Schizosaccharomyces pombe: one gene and its partners. The main gene of each other region encodes a partner of the protein of the gene in region 4 in a complex. Each region holds a gene or a part of one and is shown on either strand. Other genes may lie near its edges.

Evidence for each region.
Region 1: mrps16 (region 4) and mrps18 share a complex: the UniProt entries of both Schizosaccharomyces pombe proteins name them as parts of the mitochondrial small ribosomal subunit.
Region 2: mrps16 (region 4) and rsm10 share a complex: the UniProt entries of both Schizosaccharomyces pombe proteins name them as parts of the mitochondrial small ribosomal subunit.
Region 3: mrps16 (region 4) and rsm7 share a complex: the UniProt entries of both Schizosaccharomyces pombe proteins name them as parts of the mitochondrial small ribosomal subunit.

What each region holds. Positions count from the first base shown.
Region 1 is NC_003424.3:4,965,916-4,970,115, forward strand, and holds mrps18 (putative mitochondrial ribosomal protein subunit S18), read right to left. Parts: upstream 1,948-4,200; 5' UTR 1,842-1,947; coding exon 1,308-1,841; 3' UTR 1,075-1,307; downstream 1-1,074. Other genes in the region: SHREC complex subunit Clr2, read left to right, coding at 1-974; gab1 (Pig-U family GPI transamidase subunit), read left to right, coding at 2,231-2,622, 2,850-3,684; tma23 (ribosome biogenesis protein), read left to right, coding at 3,977-4,090, 4,172-4,200. UniProt on the Schizosaccharomyces pombe protein: Component of the mitochondrial ribosome (mitoribosome), a dedicated translation machinery responsible for the synthesis of mitochondrial genome-encoded proteins, including at least some of the essential transmembrane subunits of the mitochondrial respiratory chain.
Region 2 is NC_003423.3:3,867,868-3,873,786, reverse strand, and holds rsm10 (mitochondrial 37S ribosomal protein uS10m), read right to left. Parts: upstream 3,620-5,919; 5' UTR 3,495-3,619; coding exon 3,415-3,494; intron 3,349-3,414; coding exon 2,742-3,348; 3' UTR 2,580-2,741; coding exon of another isoform or gene 1,023-2,579; 3' UTR 967-1,022; downstream 1-966. Other genes in the region: protein Cwf3, read left to right, coding at 149-964, 1,023-2,579; mri1 (methylthioribose-1-phosphate isomerase), read left to right, coding at 5,186-5,919. UniProt on the Schizosaccharomyces pombe protein: Component of the mitochondrial ribosome (mitoribosome), a dedicated translation machinery responsible for the synthesis of mitochondrial genome-encoded proteins, including at least some of the essential transmembrane subunits of the mitochondrial respiratory chain.
Region 3 is NC_003424.3:3,518,024-3,522,081, reverse strand, and holds rsm7 (mitochondrial 37S ribosomal protein uS7m), read left to right. Parts: upstream 1-2,240; 5' UTR 2,241-2,321; coding exon 2,322-2,855; intron 2,856-2,942; coding exon 2,943-3,188; 3' UTR 3,189-3,368; downstream 3,369-4,058. Other genes in the region: transcription factor TFIIH complex subunit Tfb1, read left to right, coding at 1-589, 635-818, 876-1,419, 1,463-1,540; RhoGEF Scd1, read right to left, coding at 3,556-4,058. UniProt on the Schizosaccharomyces pombe protein: Component of the mitochondrial ribosome (mitoribosome), a dedicated translation machinery responsible for the synthesis of mitochondrial genome-encoded proteins, including at least some of the essential transmembrane subunits of the mitochondrial respiratory chain.
Region 4 is NC_003423.3:553,952-558,592, reverse strand, and holds mrps16 (mitochondrial ribosomal protein subunit S16), read right to left. Parts: upstream 2,769-4,641; 5' UTR 2,701-2,768; coding exon 2,624-2,700; exon of another isoform or gene 2,195-2,623; coding exon 2,014-2,194; intron 1,748-2,013; coding exon 1,715-1,747; 3' UTR 1,345-1,714; downstream 1-1,344. Other genes in the region: osh42 (oxysterol binding protein), read left to right, coding at 1-258; sre2 (membrane-tethered transcription factor), read left to right, coding at 4,469-4,641. UniProt on the Schizosaccharomyces pombe protein: Component of the mitochondrial ribosome (mitoribosome), a dedicated translation machinery responsible for the synthesis of mitochondrial genome-encoded proteins, including at least some of the essential transmembrane subunits of the mitochondrial respiratory chain.

The DNA of each region.
Region 1 (4,200 bases), on a different chromosome or scaffold from region 4:
AACGGATGTTCCATGAATGTAAGGATGATACATACACCTGGCCTTCTTCGTATCGCCTTGGCGAAGTGGTATGGATTGACATAAATAATGAGCTCATTCCAGCAATTATAGTGGCTCGGAACTTAATAAACTATGAAAGTAACCAGATGGATGCTGTCAAATTAATATCTGATACTTTTGTGGAACCATATCAATACCATTGCAAACAATTAGGCAACTCTCGTTATTACTTTGACATGGCAGCTGCAGATATTGAGCCTTGGTCCCGGCATCCACTCGATTTACAAAAACAAGAACATCTAGTTGCTCATTCTATATGTCAAACGTGGAACCTATTTGGTATCTTCCAGCCACTAGAAGGTATAGATATGGAAGAACCAAAGTTCCACGACGAAAATTATTCCATCCCTCTCACAGTTTTACCAACCTTTGGGGGTGAATCAAATAGTTTAGATGATCATTTTTACGGAATTTTCCGTGGAGCCGAAAAACTATGGATTAATGATTTATGTGTTATATCCACATCTTCACTGCCATCTGTACTTCAAAAAACAAGTTTTATGTACATATCTGATATTTATGTAAACGAAGATGACATTGTCTGTTTCCAAGGCTCACTATGGACACAAATTGACAAAAATGCACTCGATTATAATGACAGCGCTGACAATATTGATGAACATAAGGATGACTTAAAAGAATTACCAAGAAGATTACAAATGGTATCAAAACTATCAAACACATATTTTCGTTGCCTGCATGATAAATCTGTCGAGTACGTCTGCCCATTCGCAGATGTTTTGGGAAGATGGTATGAGCCTTGGTTCGTAAAAGGAGATTTAAATTACACTTCAGAAGTGAAAGAACGCACATCCAGTCGATTATCAGCAGTAGGCTCTGAAAATTGGGTCGATGACGATTTTTATGAATATTTACTGTCTGAAATTGATATGGTGTCAGCAGTTGTAATGTAATAAGTATGGCAGATAAAATTAGATATAGAAGTGTCTACTTATTGATCAGTGACGGTCATTATTTATAATGTAAATAATATGGGAATAATAATGTCTTTTGCATTTCATAAATTACAGAGAAAGATAGGTAAAAACTATTTGTGTTGAATTAGAGATGGGATATAGTTTTTTTTAAGAAATCATGTTGCACTATCACACCGGTATTAATAAATCATTTCTAAGTTCAGAAGGTCAAATACAACGGTGGAAAAGCACCAACAATGTTGGGCAGCAGATTAACTGCACAGGAAGATTACGTAAACGAAGAAAACAGAAAAGTAATATAAACATACTTCATATGCGTCGCTCCCTTCTACCTCTCGGTCCTCCAAATTTAATAGGTGTTCGATCCATAACCTTTACAATTTTGTCTCGAATTACGGCACCTTCTTGCCCTAATAAACAATTTTGTACTGCTTCCCTGGCCTGACTAAAACCATGAAATATAACATGCAAATTTTCAATACCAAGGCGCTTTACTTGGATTTGTTCCAGCACCTTGGAGCAAATGGTATAAGCAGCATCGTAGCCACGGCGCTTTCCTTTACGAAAACCACAGGTTCCTCCAGAGGCCCTAAAAATAATTTTTCTTTCAGGAGAACAAAGTGTAATGTGAGTGTTGTTCTTCAAACATTTGGCATGAAGGTAAAATGGCATTGGAATGGTATCCGTACCTTGCATAATCGGATTTGGCTCCTCCGTCCTTTTTGAAAAAGCTTTTGGAGTGATTGTGGATTCTAAAAGAGAAGAGAGTTCCTTTTTGGGCGCATTCCGCCTAGGACTCTGGCTCCAAAATCTTCGTAGTCCAACTTTTGTTAAATTAAGCATTAGATATTTGATGAAAAATAGCTTGCTAAGAACCGATTTGTAAACCAAAAATAAAATCAAAGAACTAAAAAATATGGATGAAAATGTAAAGGAAATGAAAAATGACAAATTGTAAGTAACCGAGTGCTTCAATACCATAATTTCTATACCAGGTAACTTATGTTACTCAACCTGTGGTAGTGGTATGAACGTGTAAATATTAACCTAAAACACTCTTCTCGTTTTAAAGAAAAAATAAAGAAATAAAAAATTAAAAATCTTACTTTGGTGGCTGCCTTAAAAGTTTTTCAAACGGATCATTTGGGATACCCAACGACTGTAATTTAAACGAAGATTGGTGAATTGAAAACACAAATATAACCCATCTTTTGAACAGTGAAGATTTTGCAATGATACCAAATGAGAAGCTAAAACTATTAGGTTTATTATCAATTTCTTTTTTTCTTCAATGGTATTTAGCAAACACTTGGATTGCTGAATTCCTTTACAGGCGAATCGAAGTATCGACGCCTGTATCCGGATTTTTACGTGTTCGTGAAGGACTTTACTTGTATGAAAACGGACTAGACCCCTATTCTGGTGGTGTTTTCTATCAGTCTCCACTTCTACTGATCTTAAATTATTGTTGTGAGTTGCTTGGAGGAATATCTGTCACCAGATTTGTTTATACTAGCATTTCTACTATGGGAGGTCTCTTTGTGTATTTAATTGCAAAACAAGCTCGTGTTTTAGACCCAAATCAAGTACTATCTACTTGTTCACCATTATGGATTTCCGTCATGTAAGTTACGCATATGGCTTGCGACAAAAAAAGTGAGACATTCTTCAAAAAAATGAAAAGCATTGTATCGTTGGTTTACAAAATTGTTAACGATGACTGTTCAAAGATTGAACTGCGTTGATTACACAGATTTCGTAGTCGATATTGAAAATGTGTACTTCTGTGATATATTTGTGTCGCAAACAAGTATCCTTAACTCAAAATTTACTAACAAAATATTACTTTAGTTATCTGCTTAACCCATTAACATTTCTTCCAGGAATTGCTTGCTCCGCAGACATGATACTTAATTTCACCACTCTAATGACCATTTATTTCGCCTCTTGCGGATCCTATGCAATTTATGCATGCTGTATGGCATTGACTGTATTCATTAATCCTAACGCTTTACTGTTATTTTTCCCCTCCTATCTTATTTTAAGAAAATGCAATTCATCCATTAAATTTCGTCAGATATTCGTTGTTTTTCTTTTTTATCTTGCAGGTCTGATAATAACTTCAGGCTTCTTTCTGAACTCGTTATCTTTTTTGAAAATTCCATTTAGGGTATACTTGGACTCTCATGATCTAACTCCGAATTTGGGTCTCTGGTGGTATTTTTTTACAGAAATGTTCAATGAATTTCGCACATTCTTCCTTTTTGTATTTGCCATTTTACCATTGATGTTTGTTCTCCCTGTTTCGATCCGTCTTTATTATCTGCCCTTGCCTATTACTATTGCTCTTATTGGCCTGCATTCTTTATTCAAAGCTTACCCAAGTATTTGTGATCTTTCAATATTTTTATCTCTCCTCCCAATTTTTAATAAAGTCCAAGACCGAATGCGATATAGCTTGCTTACAAATAATGCTATTGTGTTTGCGCTTGTACTGGGATCTGCATTTTACCATTCTTGGATAACTCTTGGATGTGGAAATGCAAATTTTTATTACGCAAGTAACCTCATTCTTGCTCTTGGACTCTCTTTAAAAATCATGGACTTTCTCAAGGCACTGCTTTTGGTTGATTGGTATGCCAATCACCCACAGCATGAAAATATTCCATTAAAACAGGTTCAATAAAGTAATCTGTTAATTAGAAAATGATATTCTTAGGCTTCATCTATCCAATTTCATCATTAGAGCCTCACCTTTCTGACCTTACGAAACGACCTTTTCCAATTTAACGTTTAGAAATTATTTATTCATACATACAAATAGGAAATTTATATTTCATATTTTTTTCCTTTTCCGAGACGATTCAAGGACTTTTTTTATTTTTTTTCATATTAGGTATTCATGGCATCCCATGGCACTACTCCCTTTACCACGAAGTACCCATGAAAAGTTTTATGCAAAACTTCATCAGCCATTGATGTTTAGTTCCAAAAGATATTTGAATTCCTTTGGTTGGGAGGAAGGAAACGCTTTAAAAGAAGGAGGGCTCACCAAACCAATTTTAACTTCTAGAAAATATAATACTCATGGGGTATGTCAGAATAAAAAATCTTAGAAAAAGATGGGTTTTTTCAGTAAAGTTATGTATGAATTTATTTTTAACACACGGTAGCTTGGTGCTAAACATGATATTGCTGATCA
Region 2 (5,919 bases), 3.3 Mb from region 4:
ATATCTTATAAGCAATGTGCTTTCTCAATTAAGTTTCATCTTATGGGGTTAAAATTGAACTTCATATTTTTCACTTGCCCAAGGTCTATTGTATGCACGACAACAGCCTACATCGGGCTTCTTTAGAAAACAATCAAAAGGATTAGAAATGGGAGATGTTATTCCACTGAAAGTTAATTTTGATCTAATTAATGTTGATGACGAGCCGTTTGAGCTTGAATTGCTACGTGATCCATATTCTCTGAAAAGTTGGTTACGATATATAAAGACCCATGAAGGATCTACTTTGGAAAAGCGTGTGCTTTTATTTGAAAGAGCTTGTTCAGAACTCCCGGGAAGCTATAAAATATGGAAAAGCTATTTGGAACTACGTGTAGCGCATGTTGAACATTTGAACCCATATTTTCATGCCGAAGCTTTTGCTTCTGTAAACGATTGTTTTGAGCGCTCTTTGATTTTATTGCATAAAATGCCTGTTATTTGGAAACTATATTTACAATTTTTGATGAAACAACCAAATGTCACTAAGATTCGTTGTACATTTAACTCTGCACTTCGCGCCTTACCGGTAACTCAGCACGATGATATTTGGGACATGTTTACGAAATATGCTGAAGATATTGGAGGATTATTTTGCATCCATGTCTACCGCAGATATATACAAGTAGAACCAAGAGCAATTGAAAACTACATTGAGATACTTTGTAAATTAGGGCTGTGGAATGAAGCTGCTCGACAATATGAGGATATTTTAAATCGGCCCGTGTTTTTATCAGCAAAAAGGAAGAGCAATTATCAGATATGGCTCGAGTTTTCCGAGTTAGTTGTTCAGCATCCTGACCATACGCAAAACATAGACGTAGAAAAGGTTTTTAGAGCTGGCATTAAAAGGTTTTCTGATCAAGCAGGGAAACTATGGACTTATTTGGCACAATATTATATACGCATTGGTGACTACGAGAAGGTATGTTTAACTGGTTTGTTTATTGACCCCTTATTGCAAAAACTAACTTATCGTACAGGCAAGAAGCACATTCTATGAAGGGATGAATAACATAATGACTGTAAGAAATTTTACAATTATATTCGATGCTTTTGTTGAATTCGAAGAGCAATGGCTATCTGCACGAGTTGAAGCAAGCAGCGGAAATGCAAATGACGAATTAAGTATCGATTTTCATATGGCCTGGCTCGAGAAAATACTTGACAAACGTCCGCTTTATATCAATGATGTATTATTAAGGCAAAATATAAATAACGTTGACGAATGGCTTCGCCGAGTCAAGTTTTTAGAAGACGACAGCGAAAAAGTTGTTCAAGTTTACACAGACGCTATAAAAAATGTAAATCCAAAGCTGGCGCATGGCTCCCTCGGCAAATTGTTTTCAGAGTTTGCTCGTTTTTATGAAAATTTTGATGATTTAGAACAATCAAGGATAATTTTTGAAAAGGCTACTCATGTACCATATAAAACAGTCAATGAGTTAGCACAAGTTTGGATTGACTGGGCCGAGATGGAACTTCGACATCAAAATTTTGACGCTGCGAGAAAATTAATAGGAGATGCCGTTCATGCTCCTAGAAAAAGTCATATCAGCTTTTTTGATGAATCACTCAGTCCACAAGTACGGCTACACAAGTCATCTAAGATATGGATGTATTATCTTGATCTTGAGGAAAGCGTTGGTACGATTGAAACTACACGCAAATTGTACGACCGCGTCTTTGAACTAAAAATTGCTACTCCCCAGGTGGTTGTCAATTATGCAAATCTCTTAGAGGAGAATGCTTATTTTGAAGATTCATTTAAAATTTATGAGAGAGGTGTTGCGTTATTTAGTTATCCCGTGGCTTTTGAACTTTGGAATTTATATTTAACAAAATTTGTTAAACGATATCAAGGAACGCATATGGAAAGGACCAGGGATTTATTTGAACAAGCATTAGAAGGATGTCCGCCCGAATTTTCGAAAAGTATTTATCTTCTGTATGCCGATTTCGAAGAAAAGTTTGGCAAAGCAAAAAGATCCATTTCTATTTTAGAAAAAGCGGCCGACAAGGTTAAAACAGCAGACCGTCTTGCTATTTACAATGTGTTACTCGTTAAAGTGGCATTAAATTATGGTGTACTGGCGACAAGGACAGTTTATGAGAAGGCTATTGAATCCCTGAGTGACTCAGAAGTCAAAGATATGTGCTTAAGGTTTGCTGAAATGGAGACGAAACTTGGTGAAATCGATCGTGCTCGTTTAATATATATTCATGGAAGTCAATACTGTGATCCAAGAGTTGAAACGGATTATTGGAAAGCATGGCAAGAATTTGAAATAAGGTACGGAAATCCAGAAGAAACAGTTAAAGAAATGCTTCGTATTAAACGGTCTGTACAAACTAAGTTTAGCACTGATTCCCTTCATATAGCGAAGAGAGCAGCTAAAATTGAAAGTGCAGCAGCACCAATGGATCCAATGGAACAGCTTGAAATGGAAAAATCTGAAGGACCTAAGGCACTTGCGGGTTTTGTTCTTTCGAAAAGCAATCCCCAAGAAACTTCAAAAATTACTGGTGAGGAAAACTAACGAAACAAGTGTGGACTATTCGTAACGTTTTTAGTTAAAGAACACTTTTAATGAAGAAAAGCTAGTGTCATATTGTTAAAAAAAAAAGTACGAATACAGTCAGAGTATTTTTGCTAATAAACGGTCCAACATCAGAGTAATTGAAAACACATTAGTTAATTTTTATTTTCGAGATGAATTTTTTAACAAATCTTTGTAAATGGGGTCGTTTCTGAGCAATTTTTCGGCATTTTGTGTGATTATATCTTTTTTCGAAGGACCGTTTAACAATTCTTTGAAATTATCAGTAGACTTAGACTGTGACTCGAAGTTTTTAAGGGCATCATCGATGGATTCGTATTCATAAGCTTTTGCTTGCAATTTTAAATCCCACATGTTGCATTTTCGTAAATAACTAAAAAACGTTTCTAAAGTAACTGGATTGACACTGTACAGTTGTATAAGTCGAGAGTGCGTAATACGTTCAAAATTCTCCTGAGAAGATTTGTGAATAAAAGGTGATCGGAGTAAAGTCCAGCTTTCTACTTTGTTGGGTAATGGACGTGGACCCTTGATTGGAATTTTCATGTAATACGCTGTTCGACAAATGAAGTCGGTAAACGTATCAAGTTTTGGAGTTTCAAAGCTTTTAATTTTTAGAGAAGCACAAAGTACGTCGTTTTCAGAAGGATTGAATTTAACAGGGTTCAAATATACAGCTGCAACGTTGGAAGGAAGCTGTTGAAAAAATGGATTCTCAAAAAGTTGATCCTTTTCGCTGTTCCCTTTGCTAATAAATTGGGGTTAGAATGTACAAAATTATAGCTTAAATTAGAGGAAAGGATTGAATACATACGGTGATTCTTTGCCAATAGCTGTCTGGAAACAACGTTTCGGTTGCACGCGAGGTAATGTACCAAACATATACCGTTTCATGATTAATATTTTAGCCGGTTACTTAAAATACTTGTTAAGAAAACCACAAGAACAAAATTCCAACAATTAAACACTGTAAAGGTGTTTTTTTTTAACAAAATTTTTTGGTTGGAGTGGGGAGTAATGGTCGAGCTACACTTGTCATCCACCATCATATTCAGTTTAACACAATTATCGTAGGACTAAGGGGTTATTAATCAATGTTTTAATTGAACATAAACAAGCGGAGCGAAATCATTTTAAATGTCGTTCGCGCGTGAATACCTTGAAAAACACGTAGATGGTAACATTTATTTTAAAAAAGCAATATCATTCTGTAATTTATACTATGATGGAACGATCTAACTATAAATTTTTTATTTGCATTTGAAGGTCAAAGTTTAGAATTCAAAGGTGGGTGTGATTGTACTGTACTAAAAATATTATTGATGCACCATAGTGAAGAAAACCAAAAAAATTCGATTAAACATGAATATTTGTGATTATAAGGCTTTCAGCACAATTTAAAATTGACCAGTATGATGAGAGTTCTCAGTCAGCAATGAGATGTAATTTTTTAAAATTATGAGGAGACAATTATTTTACAATAACAAATTCCGGAAGTTAACAAAAGTGTGAACTGAACAATTGTGCTTTTGAGCTAGGAATTAAAGGTTTGGGACTGGCATCCTACTTGCAATTATGGAAGAATCTACTGATTTGTCATTCAAATTACTTTATACTACAAGAATACATAGGGATTTTGGAATTAAATGCTTACCTCGTAACACAATAATCGTTCTCATTTAAATTGGCTTTAACAATGAAAAATATTCAATGTTTTACAGTTTCAAGGTTGTATGTTAAACTGTTACAGCAGACAGCTATATAAATATATTAACTTGCGACCCTTGTTTACCAATCCTGCATTCAAAACTGACTTGCGATCACTGATATATATATATATATATTTAAGTATTGCAAACGAGTATCACTTTTCAAGCAGATAGGTTGGTGTCAACAACTTCTTGCTGCATGTCAAAGTCAAAGTCGCACATATGATTATTAAATTGACACTACCGAACATCTTGATAAATACTTCAAGCATGGCTTTTCTGGAAAACGAAAAAAATATATCGTTCTCATCTTTAAAAGTTTGAAGTTTGTATACATAGGTTCTACAGCTGTAATTCCTTCATAAAACATCAATGCATATTATTATTCCTTGATTCTAATATGTCAGATCGACTCATTATTAAAAATAAATTCGGTGATACATTTTTTAATCTATAATTCAAGGCACCATACTCATTATCAAAATAACTTGGTAATATAATTTGACGATGGAACTTACATCTTTGAATGAGTCTAAATTTTTTGTTTACGCGTTCAAAATGTTAGATGCATATCAAATAGTGCGGATAAATAAGAAGCACAATATTAAGTTAGGGTTGCTAATTTTATCTATCTATAAGCAGTGTCAAAAGTACGAAAGACTGCGTTAACTCTTCTTATAAATTTATATTAAACTTAATGTACTATTTTTTGTTCCTAAGTAAACTACACAGTGTAACTTTATATTAATTCATTATTTCTATTAATGCATCGCTACGAGCTTCATCAAATCCTTTAATTTTATCTGATGCATGTGCGTTCGTGCGCTAGTGAAGTAAAAGTTTTCAAAGGCAGAGATATTCAAAAATTTGGGCAGAATGTCGTTGCAAGCAATCATTTATAATGAGGACAAGCTTCTTGTATTAGACCAATTACTTCTTCCGTACGAGCGTAAATACATTTCAGTTAGTAATGTAGAAGACGCATTCGCTGTCATAAAAAAAATGCAAGTTCGTGGGGCCCCAGCTATTGCTATTGTAGCAGCTTTGAGTGTGGCTGTCGGATTAAAACATCTTTCTGAAGATGCAGATGCAAAAGAATATGTTATAAATAGCTTTGAGCATCTCAAACAGTCTCGTCCTACCGCTGTCAATCTTTTTGAAACTGCAAAGTTTATGCAAGGCATTGCTCTTCAAGAAGGAAAAAATTGTCGAAATAAAATTATTCAGGAAGCGGAGCGTATGCTAGTAAAAGATTTAGAAGACAACCACAATATTGGAACTGCTGGCCGAAAATTCTTGTTGCAGCATTACAAAGATAAAGACAAGCTCACCGTTTTGACCCATTGCAACACTGGATCTTTAGCTACCTCAGGTTATGGTACAGCTTTGGGGATCATTCGTAGTTTACACGAATCGGGGAACTTGGAACACGCTTATTGTACAGAAACTCGCCCTTATAACCAAGGCTCTCGTCTCACTGCTTTTGAGTTGGTTCATGATAAAATTCCAGCAACTCTAGTCACAGATTCCACGGTTGCTTCAATTATGCACAAAATCGATGCCATTGTCGTCGGCGCCGACCGCGTTACTCGTAATGGCGATACTGCAAA
Region 3 (4,058 bases), on a different chromosome or scaffold from region 4:
CCCACTTCTTTAGTATTTCATTTCACCGGTACTCCTAATGCCAGAGAAAATTGTGATATGATTACTAATGAGTTGAGAAATGCGATACAAAGACAAAGGGAAGGCTCTCAATCTAAACCACAAGGAGCCAATGTCGATCGTGTAAATTCTACGAATCTAGAAAAGGACATCGACTTACAAGAGTCTTTGCTTACTAACAATCCCGATCTCTTACAAACATTTAAGGAAGCAGTTATGAAGGGACATTTAAGTAATGAGCAATTTTGGAGCACAAGGCTTCATTTGCTCCGCGCTCATGCTGTAGAAAGGTCTCAGCAGCGTGGTCCTTATAATGTCTTGTCTACTATTAAACCTAAAACAGTGGACAACCAAATGAAAGTTTCCCTTACCGGCCAGCAAATTCACGATATGTTTGAACAACATCCATTGCTCCGAAAGGTATATGACAAGCATGTGCCTCCTCTAGCAGAAGGAGAGTTTTGGAGTAGATTTTTCCTTTCCAAGCTTTGTAAAAAGCTTCGTGGCGACAGAATTACACCAATGGATCCCTCTGATGATATAATGGATAAGTATTTAAAAGATAATGAAGGTAATTTCTCCAACCTAGATGAATTCCATTTCTAACATTTTCAAGAGGTAACCAAAGTATCGGATGAACCTATTGCATCGCACCTCTTTGATTTAGAAGGAAATGATCAAAATGCAAATGTAATAGCAGAACTTAGACCTGATATCACTATGCGAATTGACAAAGAAGCTCTACCGTTTATGAAAAACATCAATCAGCTTTCGGAAAGACTTTTGGAAAAAAGTTTGGGGTATGTATATTCGGTTTTATTAATTGTTATTGCTTCGGTATGCCTAACAACTTGTAGAAACTCTAAACGATTTAACAACGAAAATGAAGAAACATACTTAAAAGAATCTGGTTTTCACGATTTAGAAGAAGAAGCCAGTGACTCTAAAGTTGTCTTAAAAATCAAAGGTCAAGATCAGTTATTGGAAAATAATTTTGTCCCCTCAAAAAATCAAGTTGGTTTAGAGCCTTTGCCTTCATTGGAAGCTCTTCAACATTTATACCAGGAAGATTCGATAAGCTTAAATCACATTGAACATGATTCTGACTCTTTGGCTGAAGCCGCTATGCAGCTTACTCAGAGTATGCGCGAAAAGCATGAGTTTGAGACCCACGGCACTGCATCAAATTTACCTATTGACATAAAAAATGAAATTGTTTTGTGCCATACCGTTACGATAGAATTTTTGCATCAATTTTGGAATGCCTTGTTGAATACAACTTTCCCGGACAAGAAGGCGATGGCCCCCCTTCAGAATGCTCTGTTAAATTCGAAAAAAAGGGTGGAGGCAATTGCGAGCCAGGCTCAGGAACAAAACGTTGATCCAAAACTGGTTTATGAGGTAAGTTTTTTTTGTAGAGATTTTGATTATTAACTAGGATTAGTTGGTATCCTGTACGCTCACTTCTATTGATACGTCAATCTCGGAGTATCAAAGACGAATGTCTTATCCTCCTGCTTAGGTTTGATAATGTCTTTGGAAACTCAATTGTGCTTGTAAAAGGTAATTGTTTCTGTTTTTCCATATAGAGGTTAATGATATATTGATATATTCTTTATTGGACTTAATGTTCTTTCTTCATAAAGGCTGGAAAAAATGAACATTGAAATGCTGGATATGGCTCTTTTTCTGTTTATACAACTCTTGAATTAAAAAACTTTTGTTTTGGTTTATAGATTCAAAAGACAATCAAAACTGTTTTTAGATTACTGTGCTCATAGGCCAAAATCTAATGTTTTTATGTCTTTATAGATTTTATTATTTATTAAAATTCGTTTTATGACACGAATATAGTATGTTATAAACTGATGTTCAATTAATTAATGTCCCATAATTTCTCTCTTTTGTTTTAAATGCTTGTTTTTACAATTTTTCAATTTATCGCTTCTCTGTATATTATATATAACTTTTTTTTTTACTTTCTTTCAAGGTATCAGTTCTGTATGATCCCAATAAAACTGTGTCTAGCTCAAGTATTAAATTTGGATACACAATTAATGATGAATATTTTAACATCGATTACCTAATTTATCTTATTTCAAGTTAATAAATAAATAGCCAAACGACTTTGAAATGTAGCACGCTAGCGCCTAGTTCCCTTCCCTTTTCTTTCATTTATCCATAGTGTATATGTACTAAGCTTAAACATCTACGCACACCTTAGCTTTCCTACATGCTTTGATTAATAAGAGTAATTGTTTTAAAAATTTCATTCAAGAAGAAAGAACAAACAATAAAGGGCCATGCTACGACTCATAAAGCAACCTTTGTTTCGATGTGCGAGTTCGGGACATTTGATGAAAGAGTCGCTTGTTTTTATCCATCAGACTCGTACTTTTCAAGTTGGAAAATTTACCTCAAATGAAAAATATAATGAAAAAATTGAAGATATCAATGAACGTTCAAATCCACAATGGGATAATGCGGGACTCGAAAATTTACTGAATCAACTTCAAGATTCTGTCGAACAGTCTGCCTCCGACGATTTTATGGGTGAATTAGAGAAAAAAATTGAAGTTGAAAATGAAGAACCGCCGCTAATGGGTACAAATCTGTGGCCTTCTCCGTCAAGTTCAATTGTAGGGTTAATAGATCGACCATTTCAGGTCGACTCTACAGTACAGCATTTGGTGAATTTAATAATGCGAGATGGGAAAAAAGCTAAAGCTGAAAAGATTGTTGCAACAGCGCTCTCTATCATACAAAAAGAAACCGGTGAAAATCCTATAGATGTTTTGAAACAAGCAATCGCTGAGATTTCTCCCTTAATGAAGTTGGTACGTCGAAATTATTGAAAATTTTGGAATTTTTTGTGAATTATTTCTTTTTATAGTGTGTAGACGGATTTGCTAATATTTTGATAGGTTTCTGCAAAGCGATTTAACAAAAGTGTCGAATTTCCTATGCCATTGAAAGAGCGACAGCGAAGAAGGATTGCGTTACAATGGATCCTCGGTGAATGTAAATCATCAAGTCCTAAAAGATTATCAGATCGTATTGTTAAAGAAATCATTGCTATCAGGAGCAAGACAAGCAATTGTTTCAAAAAGAAAGATCATCTGCACAGAATGTGCCTTGTTAACAGAGGTAATGCACCCGTTCGTATATAAAAACAAAAATTCCGTACATTTTTATCTTTTTTATGAATTGCATTCCCTTTTAGTAATGTTATTTTTGTCTAGTATATCGAGAATTGATTACTCTTAGTTATCAACTCAATTATACTACGTAGTGCGCAGTTAATCATATTCATGTTTATGAGGTTATAGTTTGGTTGTAAAATAACTTTCATAATATTCATCAACATTCTTCTACAGCTCCTTTTCAGTTAACGGAAATGCTACAGAATTTATCTTCTATGAAGTATATTGTTGTTTTTTCAAAACAAAGAAGGGAAAGTAAATTAGTTCATCGACTAAACTGTTAATTTCCTCTATATAAATTAAATTGACAATGTACAGCTAGCACAATGCTAGTTTAGAAATAAACAACAACGTGCAAAGACACAGTATCCATTCCTTTATTATGGACAGGATCCATAAGTTCAAACGTGCACGTTTCAAATGCCATTAAAACGTCTTCATCGGATGTGATGGTTATAAAATCGCCATCCTCATCAACATACTTCAGTCTAACCCGAAAAGGAACAGCTTGTTTCAAAATCCCACAAAGCTTTATTTTATGTTCTACCTTGGCTAACAGCTCATCAAATGTTATATCATGAGCAACAACCAGGACGAGACTAACCTCATGTAAACGGAGACGAATTTTAACATTCGTGGTATTTCGAACTGATAGGGAGGTAGACGTGGAACTCGAGCTTAACGAAGTATGTTTAGTAGAAGGGAGCAAACTACCATCTGATTTCATACCCGCTGAATATGAATATTGACGAGGTCTCATTACGTCGCAATCATTAGTAGTAGGTTGATCAAAAATTTTTTGTTTCGTTGATGAAGATGTATCTTCAAAAATGCTGA
Region 4 (4,641 bases):
GCCAGTGGTAATTATGATATTGTAAGCTCGAAAAAGTCTACAATCGAACAATCACAACGTGATATGCGTAAGAAAGAAGAAGCAGAGGGAGCAGTTTGGGCCAGAAGATACTTCAAATGGGAAGAGCATGATAGCGATGCCAGGAATGCTTTAGCCCAAGCTGTTTTAGAAGTTATTGAACCAGGCTTCTGGATTTACATTGGTGACACTCATCCTTCATTGCCAGCAGGAGAACAACCTGTCAAACGGATGGAATAAATTTGTGTTACTTATATTTTTGTTTCTTAAATTTATGTGTGCTTTTCGGGCTGCTATAGTTTTCCGTCCTTAACAGTGTCCTTTTTTCTACTTTTGGGAGGATTGGCCCAAAAGCTCTCTTGGTTGTGCAATCAGGGCTTAAAATAATGCTTGAAAGTATATAGGTATCTTTCGCTCTTTAAACGTTCAACTGAAGTTTTACGATCAACGATTTTACTAAAGGTTCTTTTAACGGTTGGCTTTTAGTACGAAATCAGCACTTTTCATTTAGATTATCTATGCGGTATACTAGTTTATTACTTATATGTCGGTTACACATATGCATGTCAGGGAAAAAGCATTGCAATTTGATCTATACTCATTTCGAGATTTGGTAGTAGATTTTTTTTTTTCATTAAGTGATTTCTCGCTTTCTTTTTCAAGTTTATTTTTACATACTATTTGGTTTGTGATGTTTAGCTTGTATTTAATGCATTAATTGAAAATTACACTGTTCGGTGCATGAATAAATGTAGTGGTGTAGAGTTGGACTGGTTGATGAAATATGGTAATAATACCAAAGTAAATTGCTTCTGGTACAGTTAATAAATTAGCTTATAAGGCTAGTTCACCATTTATAATATTTTGTTACAAACGATTAAGTTGTTAATATTCATTGTTGAACGATTTTAAATCCTTTGAGACAAGTCTTTTATAAATTCAACGGAAGTACAGGAATGATTTGTTAGAATTGTACAACTATTGCAATTGGCTATTAATGAACGTGTTCAGTTCCAATTAAACGAATGAGGAAATCAGGAAAGCAACAAAGCGCATTGCCGTTTCCGAACGGAAAGTCCAAAAATCTAAGCAATAATAGATACACCGATATTAACCTAAATATTTGAAATGAAGCTGTTAATTTGTTTCTAAAAAAATAAGGGTATAACATCAGTAAACGAAATGAAGTTTCAGTATAAAGTGAAGATCCATTTTAACCATAAACGCAAAAGCTAAAAATTACAAAGGCAAAATATTGGTACCAAGATTTCTCATTACCAAACAATTTTAAGTACAAAGCAACAAGTAATTACAAATGGATAGCATCAAATTATGAGCGCTTTCAACTAGCGCATAACCTCAGATAGATAGACACTTTAAAAAATTTAGAAATTAAGATATCACTACGCTAACGATAATGTGGAGAAGGAATTAAAAAAAAAAAGGTGATATTGTAATAAAAAGAATCGTAAAGAAAACAAATATCGCACTCAGCCAAAAAACGTGGTTTTAAAAAAACAGTACGGAAGGGTAAAATCGGTCAAAAATTATGAAATTTAGTTGAGAGAGGTAATTAGCGTGATCACAGAGATAAAGTGTAAAAAAAAATAAAAAATGTGTTAAAGATATCTAGACATTGTGAAGTGGTCGTAAAAAAGAAATGTCATGACTTGAGCAATAACGATTATAGTGAGTTTCAAGAAACGGGTTTTTTAGGAAGCAACTGGAACTAAAAGTGAAAAAAGTAACGTTAGTAAGAATTGATAGATTGATAGAAAGAAGTAAAACAAGTAAATTAGTAGCCAAATCGTAACGAAAACAGGGATGAGATCCTACACTCCATTTCGGAAAGCCGGGCAGTTAGGGAACATGAGAAAAATCACCCGAGCGGTATATCGCAAGCGGGTCGAAAATTTTAGTCAAAAAAGAGAGTTGAAAGAAAGTTTAACGAATTTGGACTAGTCATAAAAATAGATAAAGAGAGCTTGGGCATACCTTTTCAGCTAAAGAGCGGACGGTGTCGGATGGTTGTGCTCCTACACTTATCCAATATTTAAAACGTTCAACGTTGAGCTGGATATCTTTTATACGAGGAATGGAGTCCTGAGAATCAATCTTCTTAGGGATGGGATCAAAAGTGCCGATGGTTTCGATAGGTTTGGCTTGAGGTGCTTTCCTATATTGAGTTAACAAAGTCGAACCAAAAGACAGGAATGGATGAAGGAGAAAAAAAAGGATGTACAGGTGATATGTAAACAGTTAATAGAGGCCAAGGGGGCCAAACCACAATAAATAGTCAATTAATAAGAAAAATTGTGGTTGGTGTCCTTGGCATTTTGAATACTATGTAGAAAGACTAGATTAAATAGATGAGAGCATCCAGGAATACCTGAAAACTAAAGCTTCTAAAAAAGATCGCAATTTAGAGCCAAAGGAACCGTCAAAAAAAAGCAGTCTTTTAGCATTTTATCTTCCATTCTTTCATAACCCACATCAAGCCATCTCCCTTACTAAATCCTGTACAAAAACTTTCCCCTTTACGTGAACCGCTACAAGTGTTGTAAAACACGAAACAACCGTCTAGGTATGTTTTCATCCTACTTACCATGCATTCGCAACTACGATATGGTAAAAAGGTCTATTTCTGACGCCATGACGCGCCAAACGAATTTTTACTACCATTGAGAAGAGCCGGTTTTCAACGAGTCCTACAAATCCCGTCTTTCCCACTTGGTGGTAGGAGTATGGTTAAGAGCAACTTGAGTAAACACGAAGACAATGCAGGTATCAAGGATGGAAAGCAGATGGACGTATCGTATTGTGCACTCCGTTGTTTATAAAATAGCGTTGTGCCTTGCTTTTCGTTCATACTTACAAACAAAACATAATTTCAAAAGATCATTTCAAACGTTTTCTGGGATAGAAATTACGTTCTTTTCCTTCCATTTATCTTTCTACTTCCTGCTGACTCTATTTCTCTTTATAAGCAGTGTGAATTGATCATATTCACTACCCCCGGAGTGAGATACAGCACGAATTACGGTAACACGAATACTACAAAGCGAGCATTCTCCACGTTGTTCAAGGTATGCTTTGCTTGTATCGAGTTTGCTAAACAGGAATACTGTAAGCGATTGTAGAATGCGTATACGAGATACCATAAACGAACGTTACTCATGTAATGCGTAGTTTGCCAACCTTCTTTTCACCACGCAATCCTTATAACGTAATGTTAATCGCTATAGACATTCCTTAGCTTAAGCGGCTTCGTCTACTTTTAGCTTTTTCCTCCCTCCCATAAATTCTACTTAGCGACAGCAAAACATAACTTAAGACTCGCGTAGATTGCGCATCCCTGTTGAATATTTAACTCCATCCGTTCTTGAAAATTTCTAGTGATCAAGAAAGCTATTGATTGAATCTTAGAGGGTTTTTGTTGCTTTCGTACGAATCGTTGTTTGGGGAGTTCGGTTAATTGGTATTTTGAGATTTCCCAACACCTAGGCTTCTTTTAGTTAGCATTTTGATCTTGTTCTGAATTGCCCATTCTTTTGGTGTTGTTACGAATTGCTGGATCCACTGACATTGATTTTTGCCATCGTACTCCCGGTTACTGTCAAGTCAGTGTGTTGTGTCGACGGATTCAAGCAAAATAGGAACATCGGATTGAAACGTTTCTTTGGACATCGCTTTGTGGATGAACGGTGCTAGGTTTTAGGCTAGTAGCAGTTTTAAGACTCATTACATATCGGAACACCTGAAGATTTGACGTTTACATCCTGCCTTGCGTCAGTTTCTACTCCTTTCTTCTCCGTCATCATATAATTGCTGTCAATTCCTTATAACGCAGCTTGGGGGCCAATTTTTACTATATTCCCCTTTATATATTTAGTTTTTATAAGTTTTTCTTCTTTCATTGTTTATCCTGTCAAGCTTGTTCATCTTGTCTCGTTTACTTGGTTAGTTCGTGAACGAGTGCGTTCTTGGGGTCGCTTACCTTGAAGATTCCTGTTCAACCCGGTTTCATAATAATTCAACTTGAAAGAGGAAAAACCTAATTTTTTGTTGTTTTATACTTTCCTTCGCTCAAAGACAACTACTATAGGCGTTTTCTTGGGTTCCAATTTTATTTGCTTTCCTACTACAATTTCCACCCATTCTATCTTTCCTTTAGTTTTCGCTTCCTCTCCTTTTTTGAAATAATCCCGCTTTTCTTCTAATTTCTCGTTTATTAAACGGTGTATTGTTAAATTTTTTTTTGCGGTTAGCGTTTCATCAACAAGAAGTTCGGAAATTCGAATTCTCTCCATTACTACTGAGTGTTTTTTCTTTTTTCTTTTTTTAATCTTTCTCTTTTTGTCTTGGAAACTTTTCATTCTTTAAATACCTATAAATACCTTTCGTTCTCCTTGACTCATATCCAAAACGACTGTTTGGTATTCGCTTCGCTATGTGTCCTTCCCAACACTCGTCGCTCAAGGATATTCATCGTCAACTCGAAAACACTGCGATTTCCAATCCCACTGAAAACGCTGATCCATCCAGTTATGTGGATGGCTCAAATATCATGGATTTCAAGCACCCATCCATAGTTTCGTCTTCAGCATCTTCTTCATACCCTAT